Sus scrofa: one gene and its partner. The protein of the gene in region 1 interacts with the protein of each later gene in a biochemical or structural test. Links are inferred from orthologs where the notes say so. Each region holds a gene or a part of one and is shown on either strand. Other genes may lie near its edges. The genes, in order: S100A6 and FGFR1OP.

Evidence for each region.
Region 2: the proteins of S100A6 (region 1) and FGFR1OP form a complex in vitro, tested with the Homo sapiens proteins (2 studies listed by BioGRID and IntAct, with this or other methods). The link is inferred for Sus scrofa from reciprocal best matches to the Homo sapiens genes S100A6 and CEP43.

Annotation. Positions count from the first base shown.
Region 1 is NC_010446.5:96,093,980-96,102,512, forward strand, and holds S100A6 (protein S100-A6), read left to right. Parts: upstream 1-4,291; 5' UTR 4,292-4,327; intron 4,328-4,688; 5' UTR 4,689-4,790; exon of another isoform or gene 4,791-4,812; intron 4,813-4,969; 5' UTR 4,970-4,990; coding exon 4,991-5,128; intron 5,129-5,480; coding exon 5,481-5,615; 3' UTR 5,616-5,707; downstream 5,708-8,533. Other genes in the region: S100A5 (protein S100-A5), read left to right, coding at 657-794, 2,641-2,784. UniProt on the Homo sapiens protein: May function as calcium sensor and modulator, contributing to cellular calcium signaling.
Region 2 is NC_010443.5:2,109,043-2,117,810, reverse strand, and holds part of FGFR1OP (FGFR1 oncogene partner), read left to right. Parts: intron 1-223; coding exon 224-278; intron 279-754; coding exon 755-843; intron 844-1,282; coding exon 1,283-1,420; intron 1,421-4,196; coding exon 4,197-4,277; intron 4,278-6,624; coding exon 6,625-6,684; intron 6,685-8,768. UniProt on the Homo sapiens protein: Required for anchoring microtubules to the centrosomes. Required for ciliation.

The DNA of each region.
Region 1 (8,533 bases):
ACCCCCCCGCCCCCGCCTCATTACCTCATGGCCAGTCTGTATGTACAGTTCTCTGGGCTACGGAATGGGACCAGCTGGACAAGTCCTGTCACCTCTCCCCAGTTTCCTGTTGAGATCTTATCTTCCAGTTGCAGCCCCAGCCTCCTCCAACCCCTGGGCTCTTTGCCCTGATTCCCTCCTCCATAGTGGCATACTCCCTGATACCAGCTGATTCAGGCACCTGGGCCAAGAAGGGTGACCAGGGTGACAACTGCCTGGAAAATGAGGGCCTGAGCTGGAGGGGGCAGGGAGAAAATCCCGACCCCTCATTTGCTCTGCCATCTGCCCCCAGGTCTTCCTTTGGCTTGGCCATTTTGTCACGCCTCTGCCCCGAGACCCCCTTTCCCATGTCTCCTACGCAGGAGAGTGAGCCGTCTCCCTTGGGTGCTGCCGCTCTCCCTGCTCTGGCTGTTCCAAGTTTGCCTTGGGTCTTGTTACCACCTGTCCGCATACACCAGGGTCTGCTGGGTAGATTTCAGTCTCATCACGGGTTCTAGCTGCTGGTCCTCGAGGGAGAGGCTTGGAGGTGGGCTAGCGGCGGAGGGAAGCAGGAGGTCTGGCTTCCCGGGTGGGGTGATCTTCTCCTCTCCCTTCGGCCTCCAGGACTGCACCCGGTGATGGAGACCCCACTCGAGAAGGCTCTGACCACGATGGTCACCACTTTCCATAAATACTCGGGGAGAGAGGGCAGCAAGCTGACTCTGAGTAGGAGGGAGCTGAAGGAGCTGATCAAGAAGGAGCTGTGTCTTGGTGAGGTAGGTGGGTGACAGTCCCCTCTCCTGTATCCCTGAGTCCAAGTGCTCCCGGTGGGCACCGTGGGGGAGGGGAGAGGAGGGAGAAAACAGGAAGCACCAATACCAGGGCCTTCCGGGCATGAGGTGGGTGGGGTGGCAAGAGAGGACACGCATCTGCCCGCAGGGTATGCCAACCTTGGGAAGGACAGGATGGCTAATGGGTACGGACAGAGACCCAACGGAGAGCATGGACTTCTTGGGCCAACACAGCTCTAGACCTCTGTGCTGAGATGAGTCGTGTTCCACTGGGGAGAAGGGCAGCATCTGGATGGTGGCCCTCAGCCCGCGTGAGGCTTTAGAGAAGCTCAAGACCTTTGAAGTTCGGTAGTGGCTCAGCGGGTTAGGGATCTGGTGTTGTCACTGCAGTGGCTTGGGTCACTGATGTGGTACAGGTTCGATCCCTGGCCCAGGAACTGCCACACGCCTTGGGCATGGCCAGCCTCCCCTATAAAACCGGCAAAGATGAAGGAAACTTCCTTGCTGAGGCTGGGCTCTCAGAGATGCAAGTGGAGCCTGTGTGAAGGATGGGGTGGGGGGACGAGGGGGTTCAGGGGTCCAGATCAGCTGTGCACAGCTCAAGGGCAGGGCTCCCACCCGACACCCCCCCACCCCAGGGCTTTGATGGTGCTGACGCAGGAACCAAAAGGATCATTCGGCTAGTTCCAACACAGGCTGGAGGGAGACAGAACTGATTCTAACCAGATGGAGATGGTGGGAGGGAGGCAACTGATGGAGGGGAAGGTCTATGAGATAGTCATCGTATTATTATTTCAGTTAAAACAAAAAAAATCCAAGCTCAGAGACATTATATAACTTGTCTGAGGATACCCAGTTGGCGAGAGGCTGCAATTCCAGGCCAGGCCCGTGTATCTTTAAAAACAGCCTGGGAGGCCTCTGCTGTCACATTCTGAACCCTAGTGGGCCTCCTCGGAGAGAAGCTCCACCAGGTTTTGTCCCTGTGGACGGGGGACTGAAGTAGGTGTGGGTGTCACCGGCTGCCCCTCTGGCCTTCCTGCCAAGCTCTCTGCATCCTGGAGTGAATGAGGGCTGAGGGAGGGGCCGTGGGTCCAGCAGGGTTAATTACAGGGGGACAGAGGCCCTGGGGAGGGTATGGCTAGAACAGGAACCCAGACTGGGGACAAGAATGGCGTCACAGAGAGGTTGTTTCCATCTTCGTAAGTCCCCACGTCCTGTCTCCTGTGGCAAAGCTGGAGCTGGGGGCAGTGAAGAGGAGAGGGCAGGATGTTCTGTATTTTCTTCCTGTCTCCCACCTGCTGCCCCCTGGGGTGGGGGGGCTGTCACCGTGCTCTTGGTGGAGCTGGGCGAGGAGGGCAGGGACCAGAGAGTAAGACTGGGTGCCAGGCACTGGTTCCCTACGGCTGTCCTGCAGGCTCTCCTAGCAGGGAACGGATGCGCTGGCTTCTCGGCACGAACGCACCGCTCCTGGTGGCATGTGCTGTCTGGGTCGATGCTCAAGATCCCCAAGAGGGACAGACTAAGACCTGGATCTTGCTCAGCGCCGCATAGTCACCAAGCCGCTTCTATGAGGTGTTGCATGATATCTAGCTTATTATTTCTTCGGGCGGTAGAAAGTGTGGAGGGGAAGCGGGGCTGCCCTAGACTCCCTCTGGTAATTTTTCCAGGCTCAGGGGTCAGCTCACTGAGCGCCTGCGTGGTGCTGGGTCCTGGGCTGGGTGTGGCCTGGGGGCGGGGGGATTCTGAGGGCCCAGAAGCTGACTCCGCTGGGGCTCAGCCTGAGGCTGGGAGGGGGCAGGGCTGACCTGTGTCTCTACCTGGGCCCTGGAAGAAGATGAAGGAGAGCAGTGTGGACGACCTGATGAAGAGTTTGGATAAGAACAGCGACCAGGAGATCGACTTCAAGGAGTACTCGGTGTTCCTGACCACGCTCTGCATGGCCTACAACGACTTCTTCCTGGAGGACAACCAGTGACGGGGCCCAGGCCCTGGCCTCTGCAGCTCCTATCACACACCCTTCCAGAAGGATGCTGCTTTAGCCTTCCATTCCCGCAGAGGAAATAAAGATTTTCCTTTCCAGGGGTCCGTGGCTGGTTTGGAAGATGTCTTGTCCATCTTGGCTGGGGGTGCGGTGGGCAGGGCAGCGATTCCCCTTCAGTGAGTGGAGAGCTTCTGGGGGCTAGGGTTCTGGGCTCCCTCTCCACTTCCTGTCCTTTGGTGTGGATGTGACTAAGTGTGTCTGGGCTTAGCATGGCCCTCCTGGAAAATGGGGAAGTTGGGCCAGGCTTTTGATGGCTTCCGAGGTGTGCTTCGGCTATGCAGAGAAAGTTAAGGAGAAAGTGCTTAGAGGGTGAGGACACTGGAGGCAGCCGGGATGTGGTTCCTGGGGGCAGTGGTGGACAGGCCAGTCTGACTTGTCACCAGCTCACAGGAGGCCACCCTGAGGACGCTGGTAAGAAAGGGGAGTGTGGCCTTGACCTCCAGGCCAGTCCCCTTTCCCTCTCCTCCGTTTCCCTCTCTGCAACAAGCCCTGCTACCCCGCATGCCACCTCAATCACCTCTAGGCTTTCTGCCTTTCCCACCTCCCCATATCAAAAGCCTTTCTCCAGAGAGGATCTGAGAGGAGTTCCCCCTTGTGCTGCAGCGGAATTGAATCTAACTAGGAACCATGAGGTTGCAGGTTCGATTCCCTGGCCTCACCCCAGTGGGTCAAGGATCTGGTGTTGCCATGAGCTGTAGTGTGGGTCGAGACCCTGCTCGGATCTGGCGTTGCTGTGCCTGTGGCAGAGGCCAGCAGCTACCCGAGGCCCTAAAAAGCAAACAAAACAAAACAAAACCCAAAACCAAAAAACACTGAGGATCTGAGAAACTTTGCATTGCAGGGTAAATAACTAGGGACACAGGGCTTGGCTCTGGCATGTGTGCCCCTGAAGCTGCAGGAGGCTCCGGTGTGCAATTCTGGAATTCGGGGTGGGGGAGGGGGTTGGGGAAGGGAGCAGGATGGTGGTAGGAATTCGTTTTCCGCTGGCGGATGGGTGTTGGAGAAGTCCTTGAAACTGTATTCTGTAGACCACCGGCCGCTCCCCACCCTTCATCTAGGTTTCGCCCTGGGAAGGGGGCACCCTTCTCTCCCTTCTCCACCCACTTCCGGCAGCCCCCCCAGCGTCAGTGACAGCGTCCTGCCCTGGCCTGTCACATCACGATGCTGGGGGGTGGGTGGCTGCAAACTGGGTTTCAGGGGTTAGGAAGGAGCTCGAGGTCACTCGGCTGGCTGCAGGTGGGACCCCCTCCCCCTCGAGGTCCCCCCCACCCCGCGGAGCCCTGAACTGCCCCGGGGCAGGAGGCGTGGAAAGTTTTGGGGCCCTGGTGTTGTGTAACGGCGAGCACAGGGTGGGGCGCGGGGCGGGCCGTGGGCGGTGGGGAGCCGGCCTCCCGGACGCGCCTCTATAAGGCGGGCGGGCCGGCCCCAGAGCCCAGCATCCCCTCGGCCGCTCCCTGCTCCCGTCGCTGCCGCCGTGGTGAGTCCTGGCCAGGGCAGCCCCGGTCCTTCTGAGCCAGCCCGCCCCGGGCTTGGTCCGCGGGCGGTGGATGGCTCGGCATCCAGCCTGGGGCTGCGGGGCTGCCGGGCGGGCGGGGAGAGGCAGGAGAAGCCAGGCTGGCCCAGGGCTAAGGCGTCCGTTGGGCGGCTCCGGGTAGTGGCCCATCTGGGGTGCGGGAGGGTGTGTCCCGGGCGGGCGTGTCAGCGCCGCCGTGTGTGGCCCTGGAAGGCTGTGTGTAGGGCTGGGTGCGCCGTCTCCACCCCCGCCCCGCAACATCCGCCCCAACTTTCCCGCAACCCCTGGAGGAGCGTTCTCAGCTGTGTTCCTGTCTGCTGCTTAGAATCCTTGAGCCACCTCGTCTCTGGTTCCCTGGAGGCCACAGATCTCTAGGCTCTAGAGTCTGCCCTCTTCCTCCCCTTCAAGCCTCGAGCTGTCTCCTGAGGTCACCTGACACTTACTTGGTGGTCCGGGCAGGGTCGTCAAAGGGAGTTGGGGTCGGGGGTGGGTGGTGGTGGGGATGGGGGTGGGTGGGTGGGGGGCAGAGGTCTTGGGGCTTGCGGTGAGTGAGAGGAGTGAGACCTCCGTGTGGCCCAGGACACTGACCAGCCCCTCTGCCCCCAGCCTTGAACTCAGCCTTCAGCCATGGCATGCCCTCTGGATCAGGCTATTGGCCTCCTGGTGGCCATCTTCCACAAGTACTCCGGCCGGGAGGGTGACAAAAACACCCTGAGCAAGAGTGAGCTGAAGGAGCTGATCCAGAAGGAACTCACCATTGGGGCGGTGAGTGAGTCTCCCCTGCCCCCCCCCCCCTTAGAAGCAGGATTGGGAGAAGGCCAGGCGCCAGGTGCCTGTGACTCACACTTACTCACATTCCGGGGACCTAGACCTTACCGGACCATTGGTCCACACCCCTGGGCCCTGAGGGGCTGGGGATATTCCCAGCCTGGTATTCACTCCTCCTGAGTCAGCAGCAGAGAAGTCAAGCCAAGTGAATTCAAGGTGGGCTCAGAGTTTTGGTGACAAGTGAGCACAGAGCCACTTGTCTGAGAGAGGGCTGCCTGGGAGGGGGAAAGGCAGAGAACCCAAGGTCTCATCACCCCTGAGTCCTGGATTTCCCATTTTGACCCGGTAGAAGCTGCAGGATGCTGAAATCGCAAAGCTGATGGATGACCTGGACCGGAACAAGGACCAGGTGGTGAACTTCCAAGAATATGTCACCTTCCTGGGGGCCTTGGCTATGATCTACAACGATGTCCTCCGGGGCTGAACATAAATTGAGACGGTGGAGACACCCTTTAGCTGGCCTGTTGATCTAGTGGTGGGTAACTGTACAATAAATTTTTTTTGTTGTTAAATCTACCCCTGTGTCCTGGCTTCCCTGTGATTTGTTTCCTCCTCTGCTTGCCGCTGCATCAGCCATCAGAGGGTTTTCTCGCAGTCCCCTCTGGGAGTGACTCAGTGACTCACCAGGTCAGGGGAGCTGGTGGGAGGGTCCACAAGATGATGGATGCGCCCTAACAAGGCAGTTACAGCTCCTAAACTGCTTTTATGTGAATCAGAAAAGATGTAAGCTCTGGGCAAAGCCATCTTAAGGAAAGGCTCAAGCGGTCCCCAGCACAGGGCGTTCTGGGGTGGGCTTGGAGAAGGAAATGGTGCTTAAGCCAGGCTGTGATGAGTCCAGAGTGGAACAGAGATAGTCCTAGCTGGGTCCTTGCAGACGACAAAGACAAGTTTTTGCTCTGGGTGTGGTCAAAGGGGAAGGTCCAGCAGGGCTGTGGGGCGGGGCTGGTCCACTCTCTCACTACAGGGAAGTGGGGGCAGAGAAGGCACATCTGGCATGCTCACAGCCTGGCTGGGGACTGCTGTGGATGCTGTACGGTCAAGGTCAATTCTGCTGCCCCTGCCCCGGTTGAAGGTGGGAGGCACACCTTAGGGCCCTTTGTTCTCAGAGTTGTGGTCTGAGAAGCTGGCAGCTGTGTGGATACATGAATCATGAGATGCTCATGAAAGGGGTGGGATGGGGGTCCCCGGGACTGGGCAGCCACAGCCCAGCCTTTCTGTCAATATTGAGCCAGCCCATTCCTAGCGCCTTAGCAGAATGGATCACCCCAGTTATTCCATGGAGCCACTGGTAGATGATGAATTGAAATTATCTGAGTTCATTGTTTGCATTAGTGTTTTCAGGCGGTGGGGGGAAGAAGGGGGTGGCGGGGGAGGAGGGGATGGTGGGGAGGGAGGGGGATCGGGGCAAGAGGGTTTCAGGGCGATGGGGCAGTTGTGGCAATGCTCTCCCATGCAGACCTAGTCTGTGCCAGGCAATTTCCTCTGTAGGTTCTGGGGGCCTCAGACAGAGACCGTTTCTTCCTGTCCCTCTTTTTCACCTCTCCACTTCCCAGCGGGCCCAGATTTGCGGAATTAAATCTTCTTCCTCCATGAGGTGGGGATGAGCAAACAGTCCCAAGAGGGCTGGAAACCTCACCTTTGGTGTCCCTCCTTCTCTAGTGGCCACTCCTTCCCCGCAGGGAGTAGGGACTGGCACAGTTGTGAACCAGGAAGGGACCCAGGATCTGAGCTCCCTGTCTGCACAGTCATGTCCAAGCCTTAGCTCCATGCAATCTCCTCTGGAAAGGTAACTTCTCAGCGGCCAGCATCTTGGGGCTTGGACCGAGCGCCCTCGTGTGGGCAGATAGCAGGACGCCGCGGGGAGCGGGTTGGTTTTCTCCAAACCCCAGGGATGGGCCAACGGTGTAGAGGCCAAGGTTGGTGGAGACTTTCCAACCAAGAGGGAAACGCCACTTGGACGCTCAGGGTATGTCAGCTCCCAGCAACTAACCCCCAAATAAAGCAACTCAATTTCACCTAAGACACACCTACCAGGAACAAGTCAGTAAGAGGAAGGCAGTTTGCAAAGACAAACAGAATCTGAATCGTGCTGCTCCCCTGCCCCACTTGCTTTTGGCAGAGAGGACATTCCTGCAGATGAAGGAGGGCTCCTTTCAAGGGGTGAAGACCCACTCCCGGGGTGGGGGCTGCTCCTGCATTTGCTGGGAGCTCGGGTGGGTGGCCTGGCCCAGGGATGGAAGAGAATCAATAAACCTGCACAGGGCACAGTCCACCTGCTGAGCAAACAGGCGTGTCCTTTATAAAGTGTCTGACTTTCCAGTGGAGGGCAACAGGAACACGGATTTAAAAAATAAAATAAACACTGAAATGTATAGTTAATCTTTAGTTTGCTTTGAGGGTATGTTTGGTGGGGGGGGTGGCAATGGGAGGAAGCAGCATTTACAATGGCATCTGGTGGGTTGCTGGCCTCACAGGGTGGAACTGGGTGTGGTGAGGGGCGCAGACTGGTCATTTTTTAATTGCGTTTGCCTCCAACTGATATAACGTTGGAGATGAAGCCTTTAGCTCAGTCTGTGGAACAGGGGTCTGGGCTTAGAGGGGAGGGAGCCAGTCAGGGGGCTTTACACCCAGTGCCTTTGCCGCTGCTGATCCAGGAGCACTGATTCACTCGCTTGTGGAACTGGCTCCGCTTTCTCCTCTTCCCTAGCTGAGCATAAATAGGCTTTAATCCTGTAACCTAGTCACCCTGACTCCCAGGAAGCTGAAACAGCAGCACCGCTGCCCATCTCTGTAAGCTGGGTTGGGCCCCAGTTGGAGGGTTTTAGGACTGAGTCAGAGCATGTAGCTCTTTGTTCTCTGCCAAGCATATCTGATGTTGTCAAGAATAGTGCCACTGTACACGGCATGGCACTTGTATTTTTACAAGGCACTTTCCTATCCATTGTCTTTTGTGATGCTTGGAAGTTTTATGTGTAGTGTGTATTATTAACCCCATTTAACAAGTGAAAAGACCAGGTTACAGTGAAGTAAGTGCCTCTACCCCTGGGCAAATCCCAGTGAAGAACTGGGCCCTTGCCATCCCGTCACCCATTCACTAATGCTTAGCTCATCAGGACATATTTCGGCCATTTCTTCTTCATGTTTTTCTCTTAAGTGTTTTAATCACATATGGAAGGTATACAAGATGATTTATAGAAATAATCAGTGAGGGAGTTCCCGTTGTGGTTCAGTGGGTTAAGAACCAGACGAGTATCCATGAGGACTTGGGTTTGATCCCTGGCTTCGATCAGTGGGTTAAGGATCCAGCATTCCTGTGAACTGTGGTGTGGATCGCAGACACGG
Region 2 (8,768 bases), on another chromosome or scaffold:
GCTGCCGGGAAGACGCGCCTGATGGAGTGTATCTTCATCCTGTCCTGCCTCAGGCCTCAGCACAAAATAGTTCCTGTCGTAATCAGTAGTTGCAGGGTGGGTTTAACCATAGGGGTAGTGTTTTACCTAATATCTTCACCAGAAAATTAAACTTTAATGTACATTTTATAGTGGTTTTTAGGATAAACATATAACGCTTACAGCGTTTCATTTTTTTTAACAGAACAAAACTCCTTTAGTCAATGAGAGCCTGAAAAAGTTTTTAAATACAAAAGACGGTAAGATGTTTGTTGTTATTTTTGTCTGTCTCTGAATTTTCAAATCTTGCCTCCATTTGGGAGAAATCAGGCATTCCAGATTGCCTTTCGAAGTCTGCGATGCTTTCAGGTTCTTATATTAAGTCGTATTTTATTGTACAACTGTTGAGTCGCCATTGCGTATCAGTGTTACTGGAAATTGTTGGTTAAAGCCAATTTTACTGTGAAACTGATGTTATTATAAAGAGCGAAACCCTAGTTCATTTAGGAAATGTCAGATTGTCGTACTAACACTTCCAGACTGATGATCCTAATGAGAGAATCAGGAGACTGAAATTTTCATTACTTAATTGTATTATTCAAAGAGAAGAAATGTGTGATTTTAAGCGTTGAGAAGCTTCTCTTCTCCTTTTGCTTTGGTTATTTTCCGTCCCACTGTCAGCGAGGAGGCCTCGGGGCCTCAAGACCCCCTCCCACCTCCCTTCTCCTCTTTGCAGGCCGGCTGGTGGCTAGTCTCGTGGCGGAATTTCTTCAGTTTTTTAACCTTGACTTTACCTTGGCTGTTTTTCAACCTGAAACCAGCACGGTAAGAATGATGCCTTTTCCATCTCTCTTTGAAACCGTCTTTGATGCAGATGAGTCCATTGTAAGCGGAACAGTGACAAAATTTGATAACTTAGAGTGTCTTTCATAAAGATTATTTTTACAGTCGATTATCTGTTTCTCAAAACCTGCCTGTGCTGTCCGACAGCTGGCACCAGTGTCCCTGCTTCAGGGGGCTTGACACAGGTGTCGTCGTCGCGTTCACCTGTTCTGACGTTAGTCGACTTGCGCTGCAGACTTTGAATGCAGGGACTCGTCGAGAAAACATGCACTTTTTAAAGATAGACGTTTCCTTGCCGGGAATGCGGGCCTCTTTGGGTTTAGAGATGTCTTTAAGTTCGGGAGAGATTTTTCTTTGATCTGTGAAAATAATGTTGCTGTATTTTGTGCACTGACCCTCTCCCATCTTACCTCTTTCACAGTTTCAGGGTCTGGAAGGTCGAGAGAACATAGCCCGGGATTTAGGTATTATTGAAGCAGAAGGTACTGTGGGTGGACCCTTGTTGTTAGAGGTGATCAGACGCTGTCAGCAGAAAGAAAAAGGGCCAAGCAGCGGGGAGGTAAGTTCAGCCCTTTGCTACCTCTCTGCTCCTCAGTCGTTGCCTCTCTAGGGTGGCCGTGCAGGTCAGTGTGCACGTTCGAGCTGGTTTAAATAAGGAGAGGCTGTTCCTTAAAGACAGAACAGAACATACCCAGAGATTGTATAAATACACATTTTGATGAAAATTGGAGATGTGGTAGCCCTGAGTTGGCTGCTGCACCTGTTCTGGGGACTGACCCTCAGAGTGTGGGGGTCAGAGGCTGGGCTGCGAGGAACCAGCCCCAGCTCCTCCACTAGCCAGCCTTGGCCTTGGCCTCCATGCTGCCCGTCCCAGGTCCTCCTGTAGAGCGGGGGTGGTGGCTTCCCGTGGGTGTCGTGAGGCTTACACACCTGAGTCAGTGCTTGTGAAATGCTGGGAACACTCAGTTGTTGGTCTTTATTTTTATTTCTATTTTTAAGCCTAAAAGGCCTGAATTACAGACTCGTTAACAATTTTTTGAATTTAAAAACTTTTTAAAAACTAGGCTTAAAACTATAAGCTGTTGATTTTGCATAGATTCTAAACATTTTCATACTTGAATTTTTGTTTTCAGGGCTGCAACCACAGTGTGTGGAAGTTCCCAGGCTAGGGGTCGAATCAGAACTACAACTGCCGACCTGCACCACAGCCACATTCATGCCAGATCTGAGCCGTTTCTGCAGTGTACACTGCTTCTCACAGCAGTGCTGGATCCTGTACCCACCGAGTGAGGCCAGGGATCAAACCTGCATCCTCATGGATGCTAGTCCGGTTCGTTACTGCTGAGCCACGACAGGAACTCCATACGTTGGTTTTTTGATTAGCCTTTGTCTGTCTTATTCTCATCCCTTCTGTTTGGAAGTTTTGCTAACGAGATGAGTGGTCTGATTTTTATGTACAAAGATTAGCTTTACATTAAAGATACTGTTTGACAGATGTAGCAGCATCACGACTCTCCCAGAGCCCTGGTTACCTGTGTGCTTTTAGACAGGTTGACAGGTGGGAAGGTGGCACGTGACGGGCTGCCGTCTCTGCTTGGACTCTCCTGTCCGGGTGCATGTTCTGTCCGCATCTTTGAAAATCATTAAAGCGTGAGCAAGTGCCTGTGGCATCTAAGGCAGACCAAGGTGATTCTTGCGGTGGGAAGACGGGAGCAGGTCAGGTGTCCTGGGAGAGCTGCGCGCTCTTCATGACCTGCTCACGCGGGGACACGGACCTCTGAATGGTGGGTGACCACTGCAGAGGAAATAGTGCGTGATGCAGGATTAGTCCCACACCGTTGATGAGACGTAGCTTTCAGCTGAAAGGGGCAGTGGTTGGTTCCGGGTTGCCGTTGTGTGAGCTCCATCTGAATGTGAGTGGGGGAGGCACCAGCAGGGCCTGGAGGACGCGGGCGTGGAGGCCGTGGGTCCTCCTCTCCGTCCCAGCGTCCCTAAGGATGCCAAACCGTTACGCTGGCCGTGTCACCTTACGCCTGGCTGGTTTTCCTCTCGTGATATCTGGGTGTCTTATATGTACACACACATGAACAAGTAGGTTCATGTTTAAAATAGAGGGTTCGCAGGTGTCCAGTTTGGCCCTTCTGTTATTTGTTAGCATTGACCACTTTGAGGAGAAATGTGATTTATAGTGAAATAAAAAATTAGAGGTGTCATCGGCTCGATAAGAAAACTGGCTGTGGATCCGTCCACTGAGGTCAGGCAGGGAAGCTTTCAGCAGAAGCGCTTTGTAAACCCCTTAAACCCAGGTTGCTGCGCCCACGTCTTTTCAGTCTCTGCCGTCACGATTGCTGAGTTAATTTTTAAAGTCAGCGCTTTGTCTGCTCGTCTTCTCTTTAAAATTGCAGGGAGGTTCCTCAGCTTTAAGATTCTGCACGACACGGCACCAACCTCTCTTTCTAGCCTTCGCCTCTCTTTGAATTGTGGAGCCTTCCTGTGTCAGAATGAGCTTACCCTTGAAAGTGGCCTTTGCTTGCTTGCGTTCTCCTTTTTTTTTTTTAGGGCTACACCCAAGGCACATGGAAGTTCCCAGGCTAGGGGTCGAATCCAAGCTACAGCCTCCAGCCTACAGCACAGCCACAGCAACGCCGGATCCCCAACACACTCTGTGAGGCCAGGGATTGAACCTGCGTCTCCGTGGATACTAGTCGGATTCGTTTCCGTTGTGCCACATCGGGAACTCCCTCTCCTTTTTGTCATCTCTTCTCCACCTGAAATGGGACATTGTGTCCCCTGTCCAGCTGTGCAGTGTCACCATCCGTGTTCTCTGGCCTCTGACTGCAGGGGCGTTTTCTCTTGGTCCCCCACCCCTCCTGGCAGCCCTTGGAGTTGAGCCCCTCAGCCCGCTTGGTTGGAAGAGGTAGCTGCTGTGACGAGAGAGGTGCTGGTTGCTTTTTTTTTTTTTTTTTTTTGGAGACAAAACGAAGTGGGGAGCGAGTCCAGCCAGCGAGGTGGGAAGAGGAGCTCTCTGAGACGCAGAGGCCCCGTTGGCGTTGGCGTTGGCGTGGAGGGTCGGGGGAGGAGGGAGCGGGTTAGTCCTGGAAAGGAACCTGGGGCCCAGGCAGATGCGCCCGAGCGGAGTGACGTACTCAGCAGGTACTTAGCATCGGACGTCTGTTTGCTTTGTGGTTTTGCTAAAATTTGAGGAACATCTAATGAAAATATTTATAGGAGGAAATAAAGTAGTGGTTTTAAATGCTCACATTCTTTTGAGGTGGGTTTAGTGTGTTCGTGCTTTATTTTTAACTGTGTTTTAATTTGAACTGTAACCATTTCAGGGGGCTTTCCACCTGTCTGATGTGCATTCTCCACCGAAGTCCCCAGAGGGGAAGGCAGGTGCACACACCCCTCACAGCAAGGTGAGTCGGCCGCGAGGCCTCGGGCTTTGCTCTCTCCCGCGTTGTCACCTGTCGTGTTGTGGGAAGTGCTCCTCTTCCTTCGGTGACGTGTCCGGGTGAATCGCTTCTTTTGCTCGGTTGCTAGCGCTTTGAGTTTGTGTCATGGAAGGAGATAGGCCGTTACCAGCCTCGGCGGAGATGTGGACTCATTTGGTCCTTTGAACTTTTTGTCCTTCAATGAACAAGTCTACTCACTCTTCACTTGTAACTTCCTATAACCTGAGAGTATCAGACTCCAGGACAGAGAATTGTTGTGTTGAATGTTGTAGACAGGTGCCTAGATTTAGCACGATTTTTTATACAGTGAGCTCTTTTGAGTATTTATAAGAAAATCTGTTCTCTGGTTCTGTGTGTGTGTGTGTGTGTGTGTGTGTGTGTGTGTGTGGTTAAAGTTAAGGCCTGATTTCAGGGATTTGGCCTAAAAATTGAGTGAACACTTGCGTTGAAAACCAAGGCTCTACCTGCAGGAATGGGTAGGACGGTGACGGTCAGGCAGGGTGTCCCCTCCTGCGCCTGGTTGAGACGCACCGCGACGGAACCAGCCTGCGCGGAAGGGCGGCCTCGGTCCGGTTGTGTTGCCTGCCTCCCTGACTTCGCCCCGAGCAGCGCTGGGGAGTCCGCCCCAGAGTGGCTCCCGCCACTGGGGTCCTCCCAGATGCGTGTCGTGTCCCTTACCCAGGTGGGGCCTGTTCTGCTAGGGCCCCCTCGCGTTCGGGTGCCTGGGCCTGAGCCCAGTGACAGGTTCCTGTGGTTGGTTGCTGGTTGTTTGGTTGCTCCTTTTCATGTTTTAAATGGAGAAGCCAGAGGAGTGCTGTGCTTTATTTCTGGGCAGGGAAAGAGCCCATCCTGCTGTTGGAAGTTGTTTCTTTTCCCTGAGATCTTCTCAGCCTTTCCTAAGAAGGTTGGTCTGTCTGTGAAGGATTTTGCCCTGTGATGCTCCTTGGAGGCTGGAGCTGCTGTGCAGAGAGAATGAGGTTGTGAGTGAATCTGAGATGCCCTGCAGAGTCAGTACCAGGTGTCAGCTTTGCCTGCTGTGAGGATGCCTGGCTTTAGAGAGATTGGGGTTACTGCATATTCAGGAATGCCCTAGCCGTGCCTGTAGCACTAGGTAGTTGGAAGTTCTCTTATTAGCAAATTACTATTTTTGCTCTTTAGGGCCGCACCCTCGGCACATGGAAGTCCCGGGGCTAGGGGTTTAATTGGAGCTACAGCTGCCGGCCCACACCACAGCCACAGCCATGTAGGATCCAAGCCACACCTGGGACCTACGCCACAGCTCAGAGCAACGCCAGATCCCTGACCCACTGAGCGAAGCCAGGGATCGAGCCCGCATCCTCATGGATACTGGTCGGGTTCTTTTCCACTGAATTCATGGCAGGGACTCCCTTAGCAAACTATTTTTAAAACAAACTAGCTGTGCTAATTTTCCACATATTGTGTATCTTCACAGTGAAATATTAATGTTTGTTTTACGTGTTCCTCTTCTGTTTACATAAAAAAAGTTTCAGTTCTACCATGAGAGTCTTCAGTTTTAAGTCAGGAAATGTTGCTGTAAATACGGGGAAGGACGGGGACTTTTCAGGTGGATTTGTCTCCAGGCGCCCAAGGCTCGGGCCCCCTTCCGGTGGCTTTCAGCACAGCCCGGGCTCTGAGCCAGCGTCACAGGCCTGCGGGCGCAGTGGGCACTTCCTGACAGCAAGGCTCATCTCGGGCTGGGGTGGAATCTGTTTTAAGATAAGGCATTCTTGGAGTTCCCTTGCGGATCAGTGGGTTAAGGATCTGGTGGTGTCACCGCTGTGGTTCGGGTCACTGCTGTGGTGTGGGTTCGCTTCCCGGCCCCAGAGTTTCTGCCTGCCGCAGGCACAGCTAAAACAAAAAGGAAAAAGATACGGTGGGCTTCTGGCAATGAAAACAATTCCCCTGTGGTCCCACAGGGTCTGGCGTTGGCATTCCAGCACCTGCCCCGTCCTTTTCCTGCCAGCTTTCTCCTCTCTCCGAGGCCTTTGCGTAGGCACCTCATCAGTCGGCAGAGCACTCGGGGTTCTGGGGAGCCCTTAGAAGCCCGCTGTGTCCCTCCCGAGGGAGGGACGCTGAAGCCAGGGCCCTTCCTGAAGGAGCCGCTGGGAGCTCAGGGCGGTGCCCTCCGGCGGCCGCTGGAGGGCGCTGGAGGGCGCGGCCGCGGTCTCTGCCTTTACCCACAACCCATTCCTAAGACGCTCTGAGAGGACTGTTTCTTAGCTTGATATGCATTCGTTTGTTTGTAAAGATTTCTGTGTTTGGTAAAATGTCATTTTATTCTCATGCTCAGATACCAAGGTATAAAGGACAAGGTAAGAAGAAGACAAGCGGGCGGAAGTCTGGCGCCAAGGTAACTCGCGGGGCCGCCGCCGCCGCCTCTCCCGGCCGCCGGGCCCGGGCCCAGGCGCGCTGTTCTCGGGGAGGGTCGCTGTCTTGTGTCGACGGTCAGAATGTGCCAGAGTCAGGCAGACACGCAGGAAGCAGGGATTTGATTGCAGTTCTTACCCGGGTGCGTTAAAGCCAGGCACTCGGTCTTACCCTGAGGACTCCCCGGCTTGTGGCAGCAGCAGAAAAAGTTGAAAGTGCTGTGTTTGCCCTTGAACGTCCGTATTCTCACATCACGACCTCGATCTGAGGGCCAGCACGTTAGACGCCTCTGGGGTGAGTTCCGATAGGTGAATCGAAGGGCGGCCCCGCTGCCTTCTGGAGACTCTGTGTCCAGCAGCTCATCGGCCGGGGCGCGTTTGTGAGCCTTGGCCTCGCGCGGGCCCCCAGCGGGCTCAGGGGATGCGCTGGAGGGGAGCCGGCCGCAGGGTCGCCGCCTGCCTGTGCCTTCCTCCCCAGAAGATCGCAGAATCTGACTGCGCCGGGAGATGAGCTGCTCAGGACCCTGAAGCGTCAGAGCTCTCAGAAGCCTTAGAAATCATCAAGACAGTTCTCACGCTTCCTTGGAGTAAGATCGAGTTCTTCAGCATTCAGTGCTTGTTGAGCCTTGGCTTATGTGTAGATTTTTTCAAGTAAGTTGCGGACCTCCAGAATTAAAGGGTTTTGAAAAATCCTATTTGCTGAGTTAGTAGGCTGTAGATTGGTGGTTTCATGGGAAACTCCTGGTCTTAGCTCATGCTATTCTGTATGCACTGCTACATGAGAAGATGTTTTAAGAGGTATTCCAGTGTGGGGGGACAGTCACAGAGTGAAAGCTTCGTGTTAAGTGCTGGGGGCAAGACACATTTAACATGGGGCCTCACTTAGCAGGTTGTGGTCCAATTGGAGAGGTGAGACGTACCTTAAAAATAATTAAGAATATCAACTGGCATGTTTTTTTAATCAATACTTTTAACCAGTTTCTTGGACTTTTTAAAAAGTATATTTCATAGTATTAACATTTTAAAATCTTGTCAGTGTCGTGAGTTTTAAAGAAGTTAGAACGTTTGGAAGAAGTCGATGCGTAGAACAAAAGTTCCACAAAACACCTTTCACTCTTTGTGCCCGAGCCAGCCTTGGGGGCCCAGCCTCTCGGTGGGCTGGGCCTCGTGTGCCCTGAAGAGTCTGCACAGGCCTGATTCTGGGGTGCGGGCTCTGAGTCTGGCCCCTTTTATTTATTGCTGAATTCAGTGTGGTTCATTCTGAGCCACGGTTGTGACCTGTGCTGCAGTTGTGGCAGTATCGGATTCTTTAACTCACGGAGCTGGGCCCGGGATCCAACCCGCACCTCAGCAACCTGAGCTGCTGTAGTCAGATTCTTAACCCACTGCGCCACAGCAGGAAGTCCACTTCAAGTGACGTCTTAATAAATGACAGCTTCTTAGGGCCGCACCCTTGGCATGTGGAGATTCCCAGGCCAGGGGTCACATCGGCGCTACAGCTGCCGGCCTAGGCCACAGCCACAGCCACGAGGGATCCAGGCTGCACCTGCGACCTACACCACAGCTCATGGCAATGCCGGATCCTTAACCCACTGAGCAAAGCCAGGGATCGAACCCGCATTCTCATGGATCGTGATTGGGTTCATTAACTGCTGAGGCACGAAGGGAGCTCCAGTAAATGACATTTCTTAATTTGCTCCTATTCTCGGAGTCTGGGAAAGCCTCGCTTTATGTTGGTGAGGGAATGGTGGCGGTTACATGGTGTGTATGTTTGGGAGGGTGTGTTGCTGCTTCGTTTGTGGTCCCCCGAGGATTTTCTAACTACAGAAACCATCCCCCAAAGAAGAGTCTTATCTTAGGGTTTTCTAGATAGACCAAGCATTATCATTCGAGGACCCCCCCCAGTGAGTGGGTATGTGGGGTGAACACGGTGCCCCGCTTGTGCCTGGCCAGCTGCTCCAGCTCACAGTGGACCCTGTGAGCTGCTGGCTGGAGAGCGTGAGAGCACAGCAGCTGGATGGGGTGGTCTTTAGGCCCATCGTGCTGCCACAGGGGTTCCCAGGGCATC